2 linked regions of the Tamandua tetradactyla genome follow. The protein of the gene in region 1 purifies or fractionates together with the protein of each later gene. This does not show direct contact. Links are inferred from orthologs where the notes say so. Each region holds a gene or a part of one and is shown in the gene's direction. Other genes may lie near its edges.

Region 1 (7,250 bases):
AAACTAGTACAGCCTTTGCAAGTTCACACTGGGTTGTAAAAGCTCTGAAACAGGCACATCCTTTAATTCCTGAGAGCAGAATACATCCTAGGAAAATAGGATGTGTGCAGAATGTTCAGTCATTCATTCATTCAACAAATATTTATTGAACACGTACTGTATGCTTAGATCCTATGCCAGGAGCTGAGGACATGGCAGAGAGCACAATCCTCTGCTCCCATGTAGCTTGCATTTAGTGGAAAGCTTACACAGAACAGCATCATTTTGCAAAATCAGTGAACTTGGAAACAACCTAGGAATCCAATAGTGGATACATAATGTAGAGTTTATCCCTTAGAGCAGCTCTGAGTAACAAAACTTTCGGTGATGGCCAATATATGTGATTTTTGCAACTATGGGATGGGATTTTTAGTTTTACTTTAATTGACTTAAATAGGCACTCATGGCTAGCAGGCTACCTTTATTGGAGAGCATATTTAGAAACATAAAAAATTGTGCCAGAGAAGAATGCAATAATGGAGAAGGAGCTGTGTTCACAGATTCTACGGGGAGCACCTAGCTGAGATGATGGCTCTCAGCCCGCCCCACTCTCACCCCACAGCTCCGTCCTGTCCCCTTACGAGAGGCAGCTCAACTTGGATGGCTGTGCCCAGCACCTGATGGATCAGGGGGGCAAGAGGAAGAGGAGGAACTCCAGTTCTTGGTAAAGCTCCCTGCCATAGACATGCTCTAGGGAGCTCTGCGGGTGCAGAGGCAGTGGGGCGTGCTGGCATCTGGAACCTTGGAGAATGCATGAGCTTAGGAGCTGGGCTAGTGTGGTTGCTACCTAGGCTCTGGGAGAAGTGGCACCCGTCCTCAGTGCAGCAGGATATATATGCTACAGCAGCCAGGAATCCATGTGTTGTCTTTCTTCATTCTACATCCTCAGGTCCACTCCTAAGAAGCCCAAGTCCCCAGAGACCCCCATGCAGGGAATGGATGGGACACCTGAGAGCCTGGCAACCTCAAGTTCACATCCCCGAAAACAGAACAGCCAATGCCTAGAGGAGATCCCCCAAGAGTCAAGCCTTGGAAAGGGCCCAGAGGGCCCCTGTCAGCTTCTGGAGTCCTTGGGACCCTTGCCTGGCCTGACCAGGGATGGGGTAGGGAACAGCCAGGAAAGTGGCAAAGTAGAGAATGGGGTCAAGGGGCCTTGTAAGCCACGCTGGAACTTTGAGCAGATCTCCTTCCCCAACATGGCCTCAGATAGCCGCCACACTCTCCTGCTTGCCCCAGCCCCAGAGCTGCTCCCGTCCAATGTTGCTGGACGGGAGACAGATGCTGCATCCTGGTGCCAGAAGCTGAACCAGCGAAAGGAGAAGCTATCCCGGCGGGAACAGGAGCTGCAGGCAGAGGCCCAGCACTTCCGGGAGGATGTAAACACGGACCCTGAGGTGCAGCGCTGTTCCAGCTGGCGGGAGTACAAGGAGCTGCTGCAGAGGCGGCACTTGCAGAGGGCCCAGAGCCACCCCCCACACCTGTGGGACCAGCCCGTCACCCCCTTGCTGAGCCCTGGCCAGGCCGACTCCCCAGGTACCCCTCACCTGCCACAGCTCCCTCAGCCCCCTGGCTAGCCCCTGGCAACTGAGGAGCCACAAGACTTGGCAGAGGTGCTTGGATTGACCAGGATTTTCTGGTCCAGCACAGGGAGTGCTGTCTGGTGGAGTGAAACCCACAAGGACTGCCAGTACTGTGGGGCAGCAGCAGAAGGGCCCACATGAAAAGGTTTAGAGATGAAAAGTCAGTGACCCAGAAGGGAGGAGGGGGTAAGACCAAGCCCTTAAAATCATAACATGACGTGGATGGCCTTGCCATCAACTAGCAACTGTCCCATTAGGTTGGAAGGAGGAGGGTCCCATCTCGGCCAGATGAAAAGCAGCCTTTCTGCTCTTGCTGTGAGCTTAGGGAACTCAGAGGGCAAGAACGGTCCAGGCTAAATGTATTAATGAACCCCAAACTCCTTAAACCCTTTATGGGGACCTGACAGATAAGTAAATTAGGGTTGCCAGATAAAATACACCTATCCTGTACTTTTATTTGCTAAATCTGACTGTCCTAAACTAGATGGTGGATCAGAAAGGTTAAGGGACTTTGCAAATGGCTGACCCTCTATCCCCCAACACCCTTTTCTCACTGTCCTTGTAGCCACTGCCCTCCAACATGTCTCTGTGCTACAGACTGCATGCCTTGCTGACGGAGGGGACCGGTGAGTTTCCACCAGCACCTGTCTTCACAGCACTTGAGCTGCCTGCAGGAGTTGGTGGCTGGGATTTGACTCCTGAAATTGGGTGCCAGCTAGGGGCTCATTCCAGGGGACCACACATGCCTATCCCTGAGCAGTGGCCAATGTCTGTGTGTGTCTAGGGGAGATGGAGGGGTGATAGACAAGAGATGGGTTTATCCCAGAGGTTCTGAGATGGAGCAGCCTAGACCACTCCCTATCTAACCCTCTCACAATTTGTACCTCACAGCCAGCTCTGTTTCCCTAGGTGCCTCCTAGAGCTGGTGGGGTAAAGGACAAGTGGGGGAGGAGAGTTCTCTTTCCTGAGGTTTCTCACTCTGTCTCCAGGCTGCTCAAGAAGTCTGGGGGCTTAGAGATAAGCTTCGATGTTTACCAGGCCGACGCTGTGGCCACTTTCCGGAAGAATAACCCTGGCCAGCCCTACGCCCGGATGTGCATCAGTGGGTATGAGACCGCTGCCCCCAGCTGCCCGGCTAATTTGCCAATCCCAGAGGAACCTGAGGTCCAGAGAGGTCTAGTGACCTACGTGACAGCACACAGCCAGTTAATGCTACTGGAACCTAAGTTTTCCAGTTGTTAGTTCTCATTCCTGGGATTCTGAGTGGTCTCTCTCCTGTACCATGTTAGTCCAGGGCTCCACAACAGAAGGGACAAGAATCAGGAGAATTTACAGACAGCTCACTCTTCCTAGCCTCCTTTCAACCAGCCCCTGGTCCTTTCTTAGAGAACTTTTCAAAGCTCAGTAATTTGCAGAGGAGAACCCAGGGGTCAGCGTTCTTAGACCCCCAACTCTTATCTTACAATCTCCCTTCCCTAGGAACCTCAGAGGGGCTAGGGTCTCAGTCTAAGTTTCATCCCTGCAGATTTGAGGAGCCGGTCCCAGACCTCTGCACCCTCAAGCGGTTATCCTACCAGAGTGGGGATGTCCCCCTGATCTTCGCCCTGGTAGATCACGGAGACATCTCCTTCTACAGCTTCAGGGACTTCACACTGCCCAGAGATCTGGGGCAGTGACCCCAAAGCTCCTCCTCAGTGGGGACCTGGACTCGATCTGCTCTCAGGGACTATCTCAGCTGCCTCCTGCACTCTGGCTCTGACCTGGGGCTGCAGGGGCCAATCTGAACCTTGACCCTGGGTATCTGATGCTGGCAGGAGACTGAAGCTGTGCCCACTCCCTGGCCACTGCAGTGCTTCCAAGCCCCAGACCTGAGATCAGGGCTGTCTTGCAGTGACCCCACTGGAACTCAGGACTAGATTTCAGAGACCAGCAAGGTGGGGCGGAAGAGCTGAGGCTGTGCCTTTAAACGACGGGGTGCCTGTTTCTTGCAATAAAAGCCAAAGCCATTATAAAATAGATTCCTGCCCCCCTCCCTGTTAAGGGCAAGTTGGATTTCCGCCGCCCGCCCCGCCCCTCCCCCCAGTCTGAAGGCGCTGGGTCAAGGCACTGGCTTCCTGACCCTTCTCGGCTGTTTCCCCCACCCCCCACCCTACTCAGAGAGTTGCTTTCTCTGTTGAGGGACCTGAGCCCTGCGGATGGTCAAGAACGCGCCCCTGCACCTTGCTGGAGGCCAGCGCCAGAGGGGAGGGGAGCCCAAACCTCCTGTCTGCTTGGGTTTCTGACAGAGTCCAAAGAGACACGCCAGGCCCCAGCAGACCTTTCCTGAGTAGCTGGGGTAGAAGGTCGGGGCAGAAGGGTGGCGGAGAGGCGCCGCGTCCGTGCGGCTCGAACCCCTCTCGCCCGAAGGGGCCTCGGGCCGGGCTGCCGCGTCCCCTGCGCTCTCGCCACTCCGGCCCCCTCGCATGTGCTGAGCCTCCCGCCGCTGCTCCCGGGGACCGGCCCCTGCCCACTTCGGCAGCAGGCTCGAAGGCGGGGCGTCCCGGGAAGGCCGCCGTGCGCTTGGAGCCCGCCCCGAGGGGAGGCGCCTCGCGGCGACGTCCCGATCCCCATATCCCCCTCTCCTGGGTTCCAAAACCTGGTCCCGCGTCCGCCGCTCGCCCTCTGGGCGGAGCCCGTGAGCCTCGGCCCCAGCTTCGGCAGCTCGGGGCCGGGTAGTGGGAGAACGAGCCGTCTTCTGGGGGCGGCTGCGCGGCCGGGGACTATTTCCTCCTGCGGGAGGCGGAGGGACACTGGGCGCGGCGCGGCATCCTGCGGCCCAGGTAGACGCAGGTGAGGCGAGGGGCGGGCCCTAGTGCCTCGTGCATATTCACGCGGGTCGCGGCCCCGCCCCGCTCTCTCAGAGCCTGCGGATTGGCCGGAGCGTTGCCCCCGGTCCCTGAGGGCGGCCTCGCCGCGCTCCCGCCCCGTCGGCGCCGGGCCGTGGGGGGCGGGGCCGGGCCGCGGGGGGCGGGCACTCGGGGTTCGGCGGGGCCCGGCTGGCCCGGCCTTTATGTAAATAGCGGCGGCTCCGCCCCGGGCTCGCGGCGCCTGAGGTGAGCAGGAAGGAGAAGGGCGCCCGGCAGCCTGTGGGCCCGCGCAGCGGAGCGAGCGGAGCGGGTGGCAGGCGCCCAGGGACGGCGAGGCCTCGGGCGGGGCCTGCCCGGGCTTCCAGGTGATGAGCTAGCCGGGACCCACCGAGCGGGGCCCGCCCCCTTGGGGCGCCCTGCCCTCGGGACGCCGGCGGGTGGGGGGTGGTCCCGAGACCCCTGGGCTTCCCCGGGCCGGGCGGGCAGGGCTGCGCCCGGGTCCAGCCGCTTTGCTCTTGTCCCTGTCCCGGCCTCTTTGGTCGCCTGGGAGAAAGTCACCTGTAGACAGTGCCGCTGCGAACCTTCCTGTCTGACCCGACTGCGATTACGGAACTTGGGTTTCGGGTTTGCACAATAGCGTGTGCCTTTGGGAGCCGGGAAGCAGGTGCCCGGCCCTGCTGGGTGCGGGGCGCACCGCGGGGGAGACGGGGCCCCGGGCCTCGCGCCTCACGTGCCCAGCGTCTGGCCGGGGGAGGCCGACGACGCGTCTCCGGTGGCCTGTCCCCGCGCGGCGGCCGGAGCGCGTTACATGAGCGGCTTAGCCCCTGCCATCTGGGGCCCCTCCCTCCCGGCCCTTTGTGCCTCCTAATCCCCGGACTCAGGAAGCCCGCGGGAGGGACTTGGGTCTTGGGGCCTATCTCCGCCCTGGGGCACCCTTAGGCGCCTGTACGGAGCCCCAGTTTGTTTTCCTCGACGGAACGCAGTTGGGGGTTGCGCTGCGGGACGTTCCGACTTGGCAAGGAGTGGAAAGTTTTGTCTGACCAACGAAAGTGTGCAAAGTTTGCTCCTGCTTTAATCCGGCTGCGCCGCTCGGGGATAGCCAGGGCCTTGGCTGTGGCTGAGCTGATGGTAACCCGGGGAGCCGCGGCGCGGCCCCCTGCGGCTCTCACCTGAGACAGGTGAGCTTGGAGTGCGCGTCTGGACTTGGACTCAGCGCCCTTTCTCCTCGGGAGGCCTGTGCCGCTGCACGGCTTCTTCATCTGGGCTCCTGGACCCCCTGCGGGAGCTGGCAACTCAGGGTGCTATCACTGCAGAGGGGAAGTGGGCCGGGAGGCAGTGGGCGTGTCAGGACCACATGGAAGCCGGGTAGGAAGAACCGAGAGGCCCGGCAACAGAGCTGTGACCCCGCGGAGGGGAAGCGGAGGTCACAGGTGAGTTTTGAAGAAGACAGTTTGGGTCTGTGAGCTGCGTTGTGAGAAGGGACTCTGGAGAGATGGACTGAATGGAAGGGGCATGCAGGTTTGGTTAGCCTAAGCTGTCTGCACCTGGTGGCAGCCAGGACTCAAACCCAGTTTTGGGGGCTCTGTCCAGGACTCTCACCTCTTCAGCAAAGTTAGACTGGGCCAGTTTTTTTTGGGGGGGCGGTGGCACTGGACAGCTGTTGCAGAGCTTGTGGGCACTCTGGGCCCTCTCTGTTGTTGGAGGCAGCAGAGTATAGCAGAAAGTTACCTGCCCCGCCTCCCACGCCCCCCCCCACTAGCTGCGAGTAATAGTTGTGTTTTTGAAAATAATACTTAGTAACTTGTAAAAATTGTGGTAAAATACACGTAACATAAAAATTACCATTCTGATCTCTTTAAAGTGGCCTTTTAATACATTCGTAATGTTGTGTAACCACCACCTCTAATTCCAGAATATTTTCATCATCCCCAAAACTTAGTAAAATTTTTGAGGAAAAACCGACCCATAATCCCAGATTATAAAAACAAAAAGTAGTTGAGGCACATGGTAGAGAAAACCAAACATTATAGGAAAGCATGAAATGAAAGAGGGAAAGTGTTCTCCCTCTTGCCTCCCAGTCTTTTCCCTCTAACAAAATATTAAGTTTTAAACAAATCTTTCCAGAAAGACATCAGGTATAATTTTGAATGGTGGCCTTGCCATTTTCTTACTGAATGACCTTGGCTCAGTCATTTAACTGGGCTGAGCCTCCGTGAACCCTGTTTTCTCAGATGTTGGCAGAGGACGCAAAGTGTCATGAATTTGCGTGGCCTGGCGCATAGCAGGCACCCGGTAAGGATGAGCGTCTCAGCTTCCCCATGAAGCATGCAAAGGGCCAGTCACCCTGCAGGCCTTTTGGAGGTGCCTGATGAGTGAGAGGGAATTTGGCTTCCCTCTCTGAGGAGTCAGCAGAGGTCACAATTTTGAGATCTTTTAAAGCCTCTGAAGGTCAGAACTTTTTTCATCAGGAAGGTGCTCCTCAGAAGCTGGGGAGAGGAGGTTGAGGGAGGTGGGAGTGGCCTCTCCTAGCCTCGCGTGATTTCCAGCGCCCTTGGCCTTTCACCTGCTCCTGGGGAAAGCCAGGGGTGAGCCCAGCTGCGGGCCTTCCCTGGGCTGGGGTGGGGGGTGGGGGCCTGGTGCCGAGCCTGCTCAGGCCAAGAGGAATTTGGCTGTGCGCACTCTGTTCACCCTTTGGGGGCATGGGATTGCAGATTCCTGTGCTTTCCTTGTCACCATCAGGATTTTCTAGGAATGCCATCGTGCCTGCTTTCAACCTCCTTTAGGG
Region 2 (7,938 bases), on another chromosome or scaffold:
TGGAACACAGCTCTACATTTTCAGGTAGTTTCCTCCAGCCTCTCCATTACATCTTGAATAACAAGGTGATATCTACTTACTGCGTAAGAATAACCTCCAGGATAACCTCTCAACTCTGTTTGGAATCTCTCAGCCATTGACACTTTGCTCATTTCACTCTTCCCCCTTTTGGTCGAGAAGGTTTTCTCAATCACTTGATGCTGAGTCTCAGCTCATTCTAGGATTCCTGTTCCACCTTGCCAGGAAGGCCCACACCCCTGGAAGTCATGTCCCACGTAGACAGGGGGAGGGTGGTGAGATTGTTGTTGTGTTGGCTGGAGAGAGAGGCCACATCTGAGCAACAAAAGAGGCTCTCTTGGGGGTGACTCTTAGGCCTAAATTTTAAGTAGACTTGACCTATCCTTTGTGGGGTTAAGTTTCATATGAACAACCCCCAAGACTGGGAGTTCAGCCTAGCTTTGGTTGTCCACACTGCTTGTGAGAATATCAAGAACTCAACCTGGGGAAGTTGAATTTCTCCCTGTTCTCACCATTCCCTGAAGGGGGCTTGTTGCAAATACTTTCCCATTCACTGATCGAATCACTCTGGGATTCATCGGGGCATCACTCTGGACAAACCAACAAAATCTCATGTCCTACCTGAGATTCCAAGTACTTATGATGTTCAATCAAACTATCTACATAAGTTATATTAAGAAATGCACTAGTCAAAATATAAATTTTGTACCAAATAAACATTTTTTGCTTAAGTCTCACACATAAGGTGACATTTTAAAATATTAATAACCATCTATTTTCAGCACCCTGCAGTAATGACATTCCTTTGTTCTCCCTCATACAAAAACATTTTCAAAATTTGTACATTTAGTCACTATTATTATACACTCTAGGCATTCCTAGATTATACCATCTTGATCTTTAACATCTATTTTTCTTTCTGATTTCATTTATGCCCCCAGCCCTCCTCCCTCTATCATTCTCAACTGCAGCTTCATTCAGTGTTTTAACATAATTGTATTACAGTTAGGTAGTATTGTGTTGTCCATTTCTGAGTTTTTGTATTCAGTCCTGTTGCAGTCTGTATCCCTTCAGCTCCAATTACCCAATATCTTACCCTATTTCTATCTCCTGATGGTCTCTGTTACCAACGAAATATTCCAAGTTTATTCACTAATGTCAGTTCATATCAGTGAGACCATGTCCTTTTGTTTTTGGCTAGTCTCACTCAGCATAATGTTCTCAAGGTTCATCCATGTTGTTACATACTTCGTAACCTTATTCTGTCTTAAAGCTGCATAATATTCCATTGTATGTATATACCACAGTTTGTTTAGCCACTCGTCTGTTGATGGACATTTTGGCTGTTTCCATCTCTTTGCAATTGTAAATAATGCTGCTATAAATATTGGTGTGCAAATGTCCGTTTGTGTCTTTGCCCTTATGTCCTTTAAGTAGATACCTAGCAATGGTATTGCCGAGTCATATGGCAATTCTATATTCAGCTTTTTGAGGAACCGCCAAACTGCCTTCCACAGCGGTTGCACCATTTGACATTCCCACCAACAGTGAATAAGTGTGCCTCTTTCTCCACATCCTCTCTAACACTTGTCATTTTCTGTTTTGTTGATAATGGCCATTCTGGTGAATGTGAATGATATCTCACTGTGGTTTTAATTTGCATTTCTCTCATGGCCAGGGAAGTTGAGCATCTCTTCATGTGCCTTTTGGCCATTTGTATTTCCTCTTCTGAGAAGTGTCTGTTCAAGTCTTTTTCCCATTTTGTAATTGGATTGGCTGTCTTTTTGTTGTTAAGTTGAACAATCTCTTTATAAATTCTGGACACTAGACCTTTATCTGATATGTCATTTCCAAACATTGTCTCCCATTGTGTAAGCTGTCTTTTTACTTTCTTGATGAAGTTCTTTGATGCGCAAAAGTGTTTAATTTTGAGGAGTTCCCATTTCTTTCTTTCTTTCTTCATTGCTCTTGCTTTGGGTATAAGGTAAAATTAAAAACTTTTGTGCCTCAAAGGACTTTATCATGAAAGTAAAATGACAACCTACACAATGGGAAAAAATATTTGGAAATCACCTTTCTAATAAAGGGTTAATATCCAGAATATATAAATAGATTTTACAACTCAACAAGAAAAAAAAAACCAATTAAAAAATGGACATAAGACCCAAATAGATATTTCTTTAAAGAAGATATACAAGTGGCCAAAAAGGACATGAAAATGTGCTCAATATCATTAGCCATCAGGGAAATGTAAATCAAAAGCATAATGAGAGGAAGGGTCACGGTGGCTCAGCAGGCAGAGTTCTCGCCTGCCAGGCCAGAGACCTGGGTTTGATTCCCGGTGCCTGCCCATGTAAAAAGAAAAAGCACAATGAGATACCACTTCACACTCACTAATGGCTACCATGAACAGAATAGAAAATTACAAGCATTAGAGAGAATGTAGAGAAATAGGAACACTCCCTCATCGCTGGTGTGAATGTAAAATGGTGCGGCTGCTTTGGAAGACAGTTTGGCAGTTCCTCAAAAAGTTAAGCATAGAATTACCATATGACCCAGAAATCCCACTTCCAGGTATGTACCCCAAAGAATTGAAAGCAGAGACTTAGAGATATTTGCACACCAATGTTCAAAGTGAAATTATTCATGATTGCCCAAAAATGGAAGCAACCTAAGAATCCATCAGCCAGTGGATAAACCAAGTGTGGTGTATACCCAAAACAGAGTATTATTTAGCCATAAAAAGGGATGAATTTCTGATACATGTGACAACAGTGATGAACCCTGAAGACATTATGTTGAGTGAAATAAGCCAGAAGGACAAATACTGTATGATCTCAATGAAATGAAAGAATTAAAATAAGCAAAATCAGAGTCAGTATCCACAATATAGGTCACCAGAGAACAGGGTTGAGGTAGGGACTAGGGGGTTAAGGTTCAAAACGTACAGAGTTTCTATTTAGGACAATGGAAAAGTTTTAGAAATGGATGGTGGTGATGGTACTATAAATGTTGTGAATGTAATTAACAGCATCAAATTATATATTTAAATGTGACTAAAAGGGGAAATTTTAGTTTGCATATATGTTACTAGAATAGAAATAAAAAAAATAAAATAAAAAAACAACACAAACAGTGAGCCCAAAGTTAAATAATGGACAATAGTTAATAGTACAATTTGAAAAATGTGTAAGACAAAAATATCTCATGGGGGAAAAGATAGATTCTGTGGTAAAATAATACTAATGAAACTTGAAAACCACAGATCCAGTAAAACTCCCCTCCTCATAGTGGGTGGATGGGGAAACTTGTCCAGGGTCAATCTCTAGTCTTCCGCCTTTTAGGCCAGGTCTGCCCTGACAATGCTTCTGCCGGCCCATAGAACAGGCAGCAGGAAGGTCTCTGTGGAGGCATAGCTTGAACCAGCCACTCAATATGACCAAGAGCCTCTAGCTGCAAACTGAGGTCTTTTTGGCCTGGGATCTCATGGGGAAAAGCCACTGTCAACAGAATAAACGATCCAAAGACCCCAGACCTGCAGACTTTGAGAGCAGTGGGACACACCTCAGATCAACTTCCAGAAGTCCTCAAGATCCCAGACTGTTCTTACCTTTAGAAAAATTTGGGGCCCTGGCCTGGGAAGTGTGGATCCTGGGTTCCAGCTACCTGACCACTTCATGGGACAGCAGCCTTCTCTTTAAGGGAGACAGCTAGGCATAGCCACTCACTCCCTAGACTGTGGTTCCCTTGAGGGCAGAGCTTGTGAATTCCTTGGTGTAGTGTCCTCGTGGGCACAGAGTCCAGTGGGCACAGGGTCAGGCACAGAGCAGGAATGCTAGAATCCTTAACTTGAAACACAATTTTCCTCATTTATTTTTTTCTTTCTTTCTTTTGTATGCTATATGGCAGGGTCATATTTCATTCTTTTTCCATGTGAGTATCCTATTATTGCAGCACCATTTTGTTGAATTTTTGTTTGTTTGTTTTTGTTGGTTTCCTAGCTTGTTTGGGAATTACATGGGATGGGAATCAAACCTGGGTCTCCTGGATGGCAGGCAAGAATTCTACCACTGAACTACCCTTGCACCCCCCCCCCCCCATTTATTTTTAAAATAAGGCTTCCAACAAGTGGCTCTTTCTATCCCTCCTCTACCCCCCTAAACTGTGATCATCCACAGTGGCAACCGACGTTCTACACTTGATGGTGTGAAGCTTTCTCCTCCCTCCTTTTTACCCCTAGATTGGCTCTGGGAGGAGGGAATCTCTACACTCTGGGAAGAGTGGGTGCTTGGCACTCCCAGTTTCTTCTTTTGACATTCTTCTCCCTTTGGGTGGCCCAGCCTCAAGGTCATCAAGTCTACTTGTCAATGCAGCAGAATTTGATAGCATGCGCTTGCCCTGGACACCAAGTGGAATATTCAGGTGGTTGATCATGGATAGATGACAGTAAGGGCATGATCTAGTCCTTGCCTCAGAGTCTTAATCCCTTTGCTGTGAAACACTTAGAACATCAGTGATGAGGACACTTATCTTTACTTAGTCAGGGTAGGGGTCCTATTCCCACTCTCCCACCCCCCCACCCCCCCCGCCAGATGACAAGGGACAGGCAAGACATCAAGAACCAAAGCTGTAGGCCCCATTTGTTCTCACCTCCTGGCAGTGACTGAGACCTGAGAAACTCTTCTCATCTCCAGGTCCCTGAAAGTTCCTCCTCTTCTTCCACTCCCTACAGCGTGGGGTTAGAGAGATCCAGTGAGCTCTTCCAGACCTTACATCCATCTCCAAAGTCCAAAGGCAGCTCCTGAACCCTTCCCTTGCCTACTGGTCCCTGGTTGTCCTGGTCCCTGGTCCTGTGGGGAGGGGGCTGGGTTGTGACTTCATAAAAGGCTGTCTTTGTGACAAGTCTGAGTCTGATGAAGTAGGAGCTTGACAAACGGCTGTCCCCTGGAAACATCATGGGAATTTCATAGAGAGACACCCCTACCTCTGAGGGAATGTAGAGGAATTGCCCCATGGTAAGACCCCAGGATATCTTTCCATACCTAGAGATATCTCTTCTTAATGACTTGGGATCCCAAGCCTAACTGGGTATTCTTGGTTATATCTGGCAACACCTCTCAGGGATCCTAGCATGTGGCAGTCAGGCTTGAGGAGGAGCAGAAGGTGGGTTACTCCAGGTGATGGTAGAGGGCCTTGGACTTCCTAATTGAGTCATTCCCATGTTTGTCCATTAGACAAAGCCATTCTTCTGTAGATACTTTAGAAGTAAAGTAACTGATAGAGTAGGAGGCTTTATCTGACCTGTGTCTCCACCAGGGTCTGCCCTAGCGATCTCTAGAGTACCTCTGAATGGGTCAGGCCACATCTCCCTGAATCTTCTACAAAGGACTCAACAGCTACAAAAATAGATATCGCCAAAAAAACAGGGGCTTCTGGTATGTTGGAGGCAAGGCCGAGATACCAGAATCTTTCCTAAGGCTGACTCCACCTTCATTTCCTCCCAAAAGGATTTATAATCTCTTGAACCTGGGGATTATAAATTACCCTGGGCAAAAGAAGGTAGGGGTACACTGGCATGAGGAAATTCAGGATACCTCTGACTGTTGCTTCCTCCTTAAGTGCCCTGCAACCACTCCTTAACTTCCAAGCCATTCCTGGTACGTGCCCTCTGCGAAGGGTAGGGCCTCAGGAAGAGCAGAAATGATAGGCTATCATCTTGGTAGTTAGGCTGGGGGATCCGACCTGCCCTGGGAGTATCTGGAGCCCAGAGTTTGGCCCTCTTCCTGCGTCAGCCCCTGCTTTGTGCTGGGCAGGCCCATTGGAAGGACCTGGTATATCATCTTCACCACCCACTCCAGCTTCCTGCTTTGGCCTCTATTTTGACTGTAATATCACCATCTTACCAGAGATCCCAAGAGAAGTAGGGGAGTGCACTCTGGGCAAAGGTTCCAGATGCAGACTTCATCCCAGCAGAGGGGCATAAGTGATGAGCTGGTGGGGGATGGTGACATGTCTGACTTCACATCCAAGGGATTTTTTCACCTTGACTGCCCTTTACCCTCAATCAACTGTAGTCCTTGCAGGCATGAGGAAGCCAGAAGTAGAGCTTCCAACCTTTACCCTTTGATGAACTCATTTTCATTTCTCTCCTGGAATGGAGAGTGGCCAGGTGACCCTCAAGAATGGATATTCCACTACTTTCCAGTGCTCCTAAAAAGGTGCCTTGGGATTATTTCTTATAAGGAACATGTTCCTCATTTTAATATAGAGAGCCTGAGTTCTTCCAACAGGCAACCTTGAGGGCAAAGAGAAATCAGCCAGGGCTAAGGTTGACCTGGGGAACTCCAACTGGGACAGGTACAGACTGATGATAATCAAAATCAGAATAGCCATTACTTATCCAGCACTTACTGTGCACCAGGCCCCACGCTTAGCACTTTACATGCATTATCATATTTAACCCTTACAATATCATTGGAAAGAAGGTATTATTTCCATTTTCCAGCCAGGGAAACTGAAGTGCAAGTGAGATGAAGCAACTGAGCTGAGGTTCCACAACTGATAAATGGGGGTGACAGAATTGGGACTCAAATTTGTTTGCCTCCAAAGCTGTACTCAACTGCTGAACTTTCTCCTAGTACAAACCCTCCTCACTAAAGAAGAAAAGAAACTACTCTATTTTCTCATTCCTGACCATTAATGATAGGGTTAAAGAGAGAAGGGTGAAAGGAAGGAATTTGAGTCTGCTATCTCCCAGATCATTGGCTTTAGGATAAGCCATCCTTGGATCCTTGGACCTGTCTAATCTTGAATGAGATCCACCAGAGGTGGCTGTTCTGATATGCTTCTTACAATTTTGCAGATAATTAAAGTAAGGCCCTGGGGGCCATGGGAGGGAAATACTTGGGGGTCTGTGGTTGTGCAATGGCTCTGGGGTATGGTTGCTAGATAAAATACAGGATGTCCAGTTTGTTGGATTTTAGGTAAACAATAATTTAAAAAACACAAATATGTCATAAATATTGTATGGTGTCCTCTGGGGGCTCCTTGCTCTGGCTGGGGCCCATATGTTGGATCTGGGGAGGGAAGAGGAGTTGCTTATTCATTTCCCACTTGAGTCTCAGGTACCTCTATGAAGTAGTACCTGTGGGGGCAGGATGTGAGGACTGACTCCTGGAGACTGCAGCTGCTATGGCCACTGGACAGGGTGGGAGCTTAAATTTTTGCCTTAGTGAAGCCTCAGTTTCTCTCTCTGTAAAATGAGAGTGGTGGATGTGGGATTCAGATGAAAGGTTGCTTTGCATTTCTCTTGGAGAATGTGGTAGGGACAGGACACCAGCTGAAGGACAGGGATTTCTCTGGCCAGGCTGAGGTTCCCAGAGGCTGACAACCCCGAGCCTCTTCTTAGTGACTCCTGTAATATTCCTAGGTAACCCAGCAGTCTTGTCCAGCTAACAGGAGAACAGGAATGGTTGTGAGATAGCCTGCCTCACCTCCCAGTCCCAGATAATTGTGGGAGGAATCACATGGTTATGGGGGCAGTACCAGGGTGGGGATGGGCTGGTGGGAGTACCTAATCGGTTGAGCTAGAAAGTATTGGGAGAGAAGGGGTGGGTGATGGGGGGGGGGGGGTGATGGAGGAAATATTCAGGGCCCAGAGGATTTGGCAATTTTCCTGCTCCAAGGAGTTTGCATGATTAGGGGCAGGGGCAGCGGGAGGGTGTCTGAGTCTGTGGCCCTTGGTGCTTGGGACCAGGGCTGGGCCACTCTTGTACTTTCTCTGTTGCTCAGCAGATCCTTGACCTTTCAGCTTCTTTCTCAGGTTGGGGTGGGAGGTGGAATGTGGTAATGGGGTAATGGGGAGGCAGGGCAGGGCAGAGTCTAGAGTAGTTCTATCAAAGAGACCAAGGAGTCTCTTTC

The links.
Region 2: the proteins of LLGL2 (region 1) and DCAF1 purify together in Homo sapiens (co-immunoprecipitation; 3 studies listed by BioGRID and IntAct, counting the BioPlex papers as one, with this or other methods). This does not show direct contact. The link is inferred for Tamandua tetradactyla from reciprocal best matches to the Homo sapiens genes LLGL2 and DCAF1.

The regions. Positions count from the first base shown.
Region 1 is NC_135332.1:15,925,646-15,932,895, forward strand, and holds the start of LLGL2 (LLGL scribble cell polarity complex component 2), read left to right. Parts: upstream 1-4,236; 5' UTR 4,237-4,448; intron 4,449-4,706; exon of another isoform or gene 4,707-4,830; intron 4,831-5,326; exon of another isoform or gene 5,327-5,643; intron 5,644-5,679; exon of another isoform or gene 5,680-5,895; intron 5,896-7,250. Other genes in the region: TSEN54 (tRNA-splicing endonuclease subunit Sen54), read left to right, coding at 602-703, 929-1,572, 2,185-2,245, 2,609-2,725, 3,145-3,295. UniProt on the Homo sapiens protein: Part of a complex with GPSM2/LGN, PRKCI/aPKC and PARD6B/Par-6, which may ensure the correct organization and orientation of bipolar spindles for normal cell division.
Region 2 is NC_135341.1:34,577,382-34,585,319, forward strand, and holds the start of DCAF1 (DDB1- and CUL4-associated factor 1), read left to right. Parts: upstream 1-4,926; 5' UTR 4,927-5,033; intron 5,034-5,130; exon of another isoform or gene 5,131-5,181; intron 5,182-7,938. UniProt on the Homo sapiens protein: Acts both as a substrate recognition component of E3 ubiquitin-protein ligase complexes and as an atypical serine/threonine-protein kinase, playing key roles in various processes such as cell cycle, telomerase regulation and histone modification.